2 linked regions of the Cricetulus griseus genome follow. The protein of the gene in region 2 interacts with the protein of the main gene of each other region in a pairwise test. Links are inferred from orthologs where the notes say so. Each region holds a gene or a part of one and is shown on either strand. Other genes may lie near its edges.

Region 1 (4,774 bases), about 2.6 Mb from region 2:
AAAAAAAAAAAAAGTTGGTTCCTGGGATAAGGGACAAAGAGGGGTGGAAGAACCACAGAATGGTTGATAATGCACAGAAACCTTAACATCCTTCGCAGAAAACATTAATAAGGGCAGAAGCATCTTCTGAGACCAAGTGATTTTTGCTCTACAAAGAGAGCATCAAGAAGCTTGGAGGTGAAGGTACCTTTCCTAAATGGTCATGCTGTCAAAGTGTCTTCTAGATGTTTATGCTTATGCCCATAGATCAGGGCTGCTTTCAAACGTAATCAGGGAAGCTTCTTGGTGCAGTGGGCAGCAGTCAATACAGAGACTCCTAACTGGTCAGTGCTGGAAGTGGGGGGGGAGGGAGGGGGCAGCTGGGTGCTCAGCCCTAGCAGGGACATTTGTATCACCAGCATCCAGACTCAGGGGATACAGTGAAAGAGGCGGCAGAAAGTTTCTGAGCCAGGATGGGAAGAACTGCTATGAAATGCTATCTTCTGGACATGACATGACTGTAGCACTCATGAACCCACAGACTAGAATCTAGTCAGTCGGCATTCCATGACAGATGGGCGAGGGTTCATGAGGCTCCGGCCCTAGATGAGGAGCTATTGGCAGTTGATGGCTTCTAGGACAGAGGGAATCTTTTTTCTTCCTTCTGGACCTGGTAGCCTGCCCGTGTTCTCGTAGATGGCCCCATACTCATTTGCATGCATACTTATTAGACTCAGTGGTTATATAAGTTTTTTTTTTCCATTCATTTATTTAGCTCATAAATAAAGTCATGCACAATTATGATACATAATACAGTATGTTCACAATGGCATGGCTAAATTAAACCAATTAACATGTTATATCACACATATTCATCATTTTTGTTTTGAGAACACTTAAAGTATACTATCTCACAAGAGGGTATATAAGATTGTTAAAGAGGAAAATAAAAGAAAAAAAGAAGACATGAAGGTGCAAAGGGGGTAGTATTAGAGGCTACATGATGATAGTGGAGGGAGGATATGGGTCAAATATGATCAAGATACATTGTGGATGTGTATGAAACTGTCAATGAATAAATAGAGATAACCCAGAAGAAGCAAAAGCCGTGGCAGCGACACAAAGGTGAAGTTGCAAAAGGATCCCAGCTATTAAGCGCCAAGGCCTCAATTAGAGAAGTCTTTGAACCTCAACCCAGTCTTCTTGGCATTGCAGGGCTCCAAAAGGGCAGCAGCCTGCCTGTGGTTTGAGAACACTGCCATAATAACAGCATCATCCAGCATCTCACTTTCACTACATACCAGGGTAGCCCTGTTTTACAGTGGTTAGCCCCGAAGGACTGAAAGGCACAAGGATTTGCTCCGGTCCCCTGGAAAATGCCTTCTTTCTTGGAACTCAATGCTCACGTAAGACTGCTCTGTTGACAACCCAGCTACCGAAAAGAGCCAGGGAGTACCTGAGTCCAGAAACAGATCTCCTAACTAAAGGAAGGGAGCTGCCTGTGACTGCTGTTCGGCTTTGAACTCTTCAACAGGGAGCATCCCCCTCACCTCACTCCCCACCCCCACCCACCACCAGAGTGAGCTCCAGTTTCCCCACCTATAAAGCAGAGACAAGTAAATTTTGCACTTTAGTTAACCAGGATGCCCCGAGGCTCAAGCATAAAAGAGCAAATTGGGGCAGAAGCTCACTCCCACTACATAAGTGACTGCCCATTCCTTCTCTGGCTTCTAAGCCTACACTGCAGCCCAGTACCCAGAGCATATGACCAGTGTCAGGAAGACCTCACTCTAGCAAGGGAGGAGAAAGTAAAGCAATTACAATACCAACCCACTGGTCTCCAACATTTCTATTTTCAAAAGAAAAAAAAGCAGTCATTAGCATAACACTTACTACTTATTAAGTCCTAAATCATACAAAGGGCTCCCCTGTGGGCTTGCTTGCTTTTAGCTGATACAACTACTCATTTTACAAATGACAAAACTTAAGCTTGGAGTTTAAAGGGTAACCAGTAAGCAGCAGGGCCAGGCAGGACAAAGCCCCAGTGCTAATGCAGACTAATACTTCCCAACTCTAAGGAGCTCACTAATCACCTAGTTAGATTCAGTGAGACCTTCACCAGGTCTTGACAGGGGGTGAGGGGAGGGGCCTAAGCTGATGCACTTCTAGGGTGGCAGGTAGATAGGACTTCGAGTATCCAGGGCTGGGCTTTACATTCCATTAAGGGGCATCCTGTATCACTGGATGGGTCTCCAAAGTTTCACACTAGCCCAGTCCCGTAGAATGTACTCAATGACTTACTAATTGAATCTAGATCTCAAAAATTCATACTTCAGCACTTCCCTATATCAAGTCCCATTGTGTCATTCAGTCTTCCTAACAGACCTATAGGAGGTGATTCTCACTTGACAGACAAGGAAACAGACTGAAAAGAGTAAGCGACCTAAGCTTTTTAGCTGTTGTGCGGCAGAGACGACCACAGCTGTCTCAGGGGATGTAAGGAAAAAAAAAAATTAGAGACCACCGGATGGCAGGAAGGGAGCCCATCCCAGCACCTGACAAGCTCACAGCTCCAGAGGTCACCCGGAACTCTCAGCTACGCCGGGGATGAGGTAGCCCTGCCCGGTGCTCCAGGAGGGAAATAAGGAAGAGGAGAGGAGGCCGATTTGGGGCACAGTGCCAGGCGGCAGAAGGCAGCTGGTGAGGTTGAGTCCCCTGACTTCACCATAACATAAGCCCCACTGATTTCAATTACCGGGGTGGATCCAGCTATGGAGGAACCCTGTCCAGCTTGAGGGGGGAGGAAGGGGAGCAGGGATGAGAGGGTTACGGGCGTAGAGGGAAATCGCTGCTAGGTGATGAATCACCGAGCACATGACCCTGCAGGAGAGGGGAGGGTACAGAGCTCCGCGGGATGAGGCGGGGGCTTAAGGAGTGAGGCCTAGCTCGCAGAGCACCCCTGCGGCCTGGATGAGGGGCTAAGGGAAGCCCCCCTCCCGCGCCGCTCCTCCTGGCGGCGGATCTCCGCAGCCCCCAGGCGCTCCAGATCCCCAGGCGCAGCAAACTCACGGCCTTCAGCTGCTCCAGCCGGTCCTTCATCCTGGCCCAGGTGCGAGCGGCGGGCACCGCGTCCCAGGTGAGCGCGTCCCAGGTGAGCGGCAGCGGGTGCCGGCCGGGGCGAGGGAGCTGCTAGCGCAGGCGGAGGCGGGCGGCGGCCGCTCACGAGGAGGAGCGTCCGAGGCCACCGAGGTCCGCCGCGCCGCCCCCTCCGGCCCCCGCCGGCGCCGCGCTCCAAATCCGGCTCCCAGACCAGCGCCGGCTCTGCGCCCGCCCGCCCCTGGACCCGCCCCGTACCTGGGCCGCGCCCCGCGCTCCTGCTTAAAGGGCCCGCGCGCGATCCAACGTCACCGGCCCGGTGTGTCATAGCATCCACGGAAGCAGAAGCATTCGGGGTTCCCGGCCCCGCCCGCCGGGCAGAGAAAAGGAGAAGGGATCTGTCCGGCTTCGATTCCGTATTCTCTGTACTGCCCATGTTGTCCAACCCTTCGCGGACTAGTCCGGTTAAAGACAAGCTGGCTCCTGCTCCCTTTGATGGGGGGAAATGTTCCGATGATGCTCAAGAGATACTCTGCCTCAAAGAAAGGAGCTGCGAGGTACAGAACTGCAAAGTCCGGGCTCAGAGACCTGGAGATGAGACGCAGTGGGTTGGGCTGCGGCGAGGAATTTGGGGGAGTTATGCTGTTGGTGGCCACAGGGCCTCTTGGAGACGTGTAGGCGGTTCGGTCACCTTTTACTAACAATTTGAATAACTGTTAGGGAAGTCCTGTTCCTTTAGAGGATTCTGTTCCCATAGCCATAAATCAGAAACCACTTAGCAGTTTGCTGCGAAGCCTGTGAGAGAAAGAAGCAACTGACTTGTAACTGCAGGACAGGGTTGGTTTGGAAAACTTAAACTCCACCCATCCCCTTGCTGTAAAGAGGCTCCGGATTTGAAGAACTTTTTTAGAGAAGTGTGGTTCCTCTCACCATCCTTCCCTCTTCAACCGTGCCCCTACCCCCGTCTCCTCCCTGTCTGATTTTGGGCATATCAAGCGGGGTGGTGGTCAACAATTGGAGCCAGCGAAGACTGGGAAGGATCTTGCTCTTTGCGTTCAGTTTTAAAGGTCGTAGATACGTCAGTTCTAACCGAACTTTGCCCTCTGCGATGTGCACTCTCCTACTGATTTCCTCCGCTGCCATAAAGACCGTCAAGTAAGGCAGGGCTTGGGCTGTGTGGGCCAGCCCTGCAGTTCTCAACTCTAATCCCTTTTCTCGCGTCCTTCTGCCGCTGTGCCCCATGCGGACTGCGAGGGCTTTCACGCCCCCTGGCGGTCGTAAACCCTATGGCTGGGGTTGAACCTCCTGCCTGGCATACACCTGGAAAACATTCTACCACTGAGCTCCCTCTAGCACCAGTCCTTTTGTTTTCTTCTAACTTTCAGACAAACGCTCCCTAAATTGCCCAGGCAAGCTTTGAACTTGCCATTCTCCTGTTTTAATCTCTCCAGTAAAAGGGATTACAATGAAACACTCTTATTGAAGTGTAGACTTCTGAAGTCTGGGCAGAAGTGTAGCAGTAAGGAAGGAGGAAGGATTCATTTTGAAGCAAGAACCAAGGAGTCCTGTTAATACATAATTGCTTTCGGGCGGAGATGGCTCAGCGGGAAAGATCACTGACGGAAGGACCTAGATTCAATTCCCAGCATCCACATGACTCTCAACCTCCTGTAACTCCAGTTGCAGGGGATGCATCGCC
Region 2 (4,002 bases):
AAAGATTTTTCTTGGGGGGCGGAGTGTTGGGGGGGTGTTTTGAGACAGGGTTTCCCTGTGTAGCTTTGGAGTCTGCCCTGGAATTTGCTCTTGTAGACCAGGCTGGCCTCGAACTCACAGAGATCCACCTGCCTCTGCCTCCCAAGTGCTGCCACCACCGTCCAGCATACTTTAAAACTTTAAGTTATATTGTGGTTTTGGGTGGTGGTGCCTGAGTACCATGGCATGCATGTGGAGTTGGTTATCTCTTTCTCTTGTATGAGTCCCTGGGGTGGTTTTCAGGTTTCCAGGCTTGGCAACAAGCTCCTTTATCTGCTGAGCCATCTTCCTGGCTCTCATACTCCTATTCTTGATGCCTTGCATGTCCTCCTCTCTGATACCTCCCTGGGTCATAGTACACTGGGACAGGTTTTTTTCTGCCCTCATTGGGGAGAATGGGATGTAGGTGACACAATGGCTGTGATATGAAGTCACTGTATATGAGTTTGAATAAATCACAGCTAATCATTTGTAATATTAGACATTCTGTGCAAAAATTTGCTTCTTGCGGTTTCCTGCTTTTTTTTTTTTTTTTTTTTCAAGACAGGGTTTCTCTGTGTAGCTTTGGAGCCTGTCCTAGAACTGGCTTTGTAGACCCTGCTGGCCTTGGAACTCACAGAGATCCACCTGCCTCTGCCCCCTGAGTGCTGGGATTAAAGGTGTGCACCACCACTGCCTGGCCAATGTGTAGCCTAGGCTGGCCTCGAACTCGTGATCCTCCTGCCTCCACCTCCTTCAGAAAATCCTATCAGAATGCATCACCACAACGAGCCTTTTCCTGGGTTTTATTCAAGTAATCTGTCAGCATGTTCTAGGTACAAGATTTTGGCCTTTGAAGGGTTCTATGACCTCATAGGGTAAAGTATAGCAGAAAGGAAGAGGGCAGAGAAGTCATTCCTTTTTCTGCAAGGAATGACCAGAGTTTGGAGAGTCCTGTTGCCACCTGATCTGACTAGACACTTTACTAGTAGGGGTTATTTTGTCCTCCCTGCCAGAGATGGCACAGATAGGGTCAATGACTGAAGACTCCCTGCTTGATACTCTTCTTCTGGTCTTTTAACAGGACATCAATAGCCTCAACAAACAAATTGCTCAACTTCAAGATTTTGTGAGGGCCAAGGGCAGCCAGAGTGGCCGGCATCTGCAGACACATTCCAACACCATTGTAGTTTCATTGCAGGTGGGACCCTGGGGATGGAGGGAGTAAGGAAGGGGATAACAAAAAGTATCTTCTTTGAATGACCAAATTTCCTTGCTTTTTATAGTCAAAACTGGCTTCCATGTCCAATGACTTCAAATCAGTTTTAGAAGTGAGGACTGAGGTAAGTTGGATCTATAGGTGGGTAGGAATCTGTGATATGGACCAAGAGGAAAAGGGGAAGGGACAAGTTACCCAGAGTCATGGGGTCAACATACCCACTTTCCAGAGACTCAGGACCTTTGCATTTCCCCCCAACATCAGAACCTGAAACAACAGAGGAACCGTCGGGAACAGTTCTCCCGGACACCAGTGTCGGCCCTGCCCCTTGCCCCCAACCACCTTGGTAAGTCAGAGGCAATATGGGAAGCCTAGGAGCTAAGGTCTTCTGACTGCGCTGGTAGGTGTGGAGCAGGAGAATGGAAGAGCCAGGATGGTGCTAGGCATTATCTCAGAGGATAAACCTGGTTCTAAAGTTTCATGATCCACACTCACATATTCAGAAGAATGACAGTGTCTGACTTTTTGTGTAGTCAGTCACATTCTCTTAATTTTCTCATCCATCCTTAGAAAGCAACTATTGTTAGCTCCATTTTACAGATGAGGAAATTGAGATTCAGAGAGGTTAGTCTATCTAGAGCTGGATTTAAACCTAGTGCCAGTGAGTTTTGAATGTGTTTTGTTCGCTTTGTTTTTAGAGCTAGGGTTTCATGTAGCTTGGGCTAGCCTCTAGCTTGTCATTAGCTGAGGACTGACTGACCTGACCCTCCTACCTTAAAATCCCTATTGCTAGTATAACAGGTATATGCCACTGTGCACTGCTTGCATGGCATTTTGTTGTTGTGAGAATGGGTCTCAATTTGTAGTCTTGTCCTGGAACTCACTATGTAGATTAGCCTTATACTCAGAGATCCTTTTGCCTAAGCCCCAGGAATGCAGAGATTAAAGTCATGTGTCACCATGCCAGGCCCTGAACCTGCTTTTAATCATTAAAATGTGCCACGTCTTATTTCTTCCCTAGGGGGAGGACCCATAGTTTTGGGAGCAGAGTCCCGAGCCTCCAGGGATGTGGCCATCGACATGATGGATTCTAGAACAAGCCAGCAGCTTCAGCTCATTGACGAGCAGGTACCCAGGCTCTGAAATCAGGAGGATCAGTTCCTCTGTCTTCTGTGTTCCCCAGAGTGTTTGGAGTGTGTCATGGTGAAAAGATCTTAAAAACCCAGGCCCTAGTTCATGGTGCTCTCTCTTGTGAAGGATTCCTACATCCAGAGCCGGGCAGATACCATGCAGAACATCGAGTCTACAATCGTTGAGCTGGGCTCCATTTTTCAGCAGTTGGCACACATGGTGAAAGAACAGGAGGAAACTATTCAGAGGTAAGACACTCTCACCCATGTATTAGAACTTTCTCTTCTTCATGGATTAGCATCTTGAAGTTCCCAGGGGCAGCTTGGTGGTCTTTGAAGAATGAATGAATCCTTCCCTCCCATGAGTCCTAATTCACCTGCTTCTACTCATTCAGTAAGAGTTTTTTGAGGGCCTGATATGGTAGTGCCACCTTTAATCGAAGCAGGCGGATCTCTTGTTTGAGACTAGCCTAGTATACATAGTGAGTTCCATAGAGAGGGCTACATAGAGAGACCCTTTGGGGTGGGGGTGGGGGTGGGGGTGGGGGTGGGGCAGTTTTCTGTCTGCATATTTCCCTGCAGACCAGAAGGGGGCACCAGATCTCATTATAGATGGTTGTGAGCCACAATGTAGTTGCTGGGAATTGAACTCAGGACCTCTGGAAGACCAGCTAGTGTTCTTAACCAGTGAGAGCCATCTCTCCAGCCTGAGACCCCCCCCCCCTTTTTTTTCTTTTTTTTAGTAAAAGGTGGTGGCGGTGCACACCTTTAATCCCAGCACTCGGGAGGCAGAGGCAGACATATCTCTGTGAGTTCAAAGCCAGCCTGTTCTACAGAGCTAGTTCCAGGACAGCAAGGGCTGTTACACAGAGAAACCCTGCTTTGGAAAAACAAATAAACAAAAATAAATAAATAGAAAAGAAAAAAAAAAAAAAGACCGAGGGCCTGGAAATACAGCCTGGTTGTAGAGAGTTTGCCTACTATATATGAAGGCTTAGGATCAGTCTTCAGAATCATAGAAAAAGGGAAAGAAAGCAACTGGTGGAATCAGCTGGCTGGCTCAATGGATAAAGGAAGTTTCTGCATAAGTCTAGTGACAGGAGTTTGATCACTGCAATCAGAAAGGAGTGACCAATGCCACAGAGTTGTCTTCTTTCTGCTACATCTGTGCCTCTCCCTCCATAGTAATAAATAAAAGTGTTATAAAAACAAAACACAGCTGAGAAGGGAGCACAGTGTGCTGACCTTTCTTGAGCATTGTCTGAGCCCAGGAGTCCAAGGCCAGTTTTATAAGTGTAGTCAAGCACTATTTCAAAAACTAAAAGAGAAGGCTCAGCATTAAGTTAAGAGAACTTGTTCATTTTTCCAGAGGACCTGTGTTCAATTGCTAGTACCCACATGGTGTTTTACAGCCATCTTTAACTCTGGTTCTAGGGGATTCAGTGTCCTCTTTTGGCCTCCACAGATAACCTGTGCAAGTGATGTAAAACATGCAAAACACATTAACTAAGTTTTAAAAAAATGAATGAATCTAATTTTTAAAAAATTTAATAATTTTATGAGAAATGGATGTTGTGGCATATGCCTTTAATCCCAGTACTCCAGAAGTAGAAGCAGTCAGATCTCTTGAGTTTT

Evidence for each region. The genes of interacting proteins can lie anywhere in the genome.
Region 1: the proteins of Stx5 (region 2) and Stx3 interact in binary tests that used the Homo sapiens proteins (3 or more experiments, as listed by UniProt). The link is inferred for Cricetulus griseus from reciprocal best matches to the Homo sapiens genes STX5 and STX3.

What each region holds. Positions count from the first base shown.
Region 1 is NC_048596.1:48,783,499-48,788,272, reverse strand, and holds the start of Stx3 (syntaxin-3), read right to left. Parts: upstream 3,229-4,774; 5' UTR 3,079-3,228; coding exon 3,049-3,078; intron 1-3,048. UniProt on the Homo sapiens protein: Potentially involved in docking of synaptic vesicles at presynaptic active zones. Apical receptor involved in membrane fusion of apical vesicles.
Region 2 is NC_048596.1:51,348,216-51,352,217, reverse strand, and holds part of Stx5 (syntaxin-5), read left to right. Parts: intron 1-1,102; coding exon 1,103-1,219; intron 1,220-1,304; coding exon 1,305-1,361; intron 1,362-1,501; coding exon 1,502-1,583; intron 1,584-2,258; coding exon 2,259-2,365; intron 2,366-2,494; coding exon 2,495-2,616; intron 2,617-4,002. UniProt on the Homo sapiens protein: Mediates endoplasmic reticulum to Golgi transport.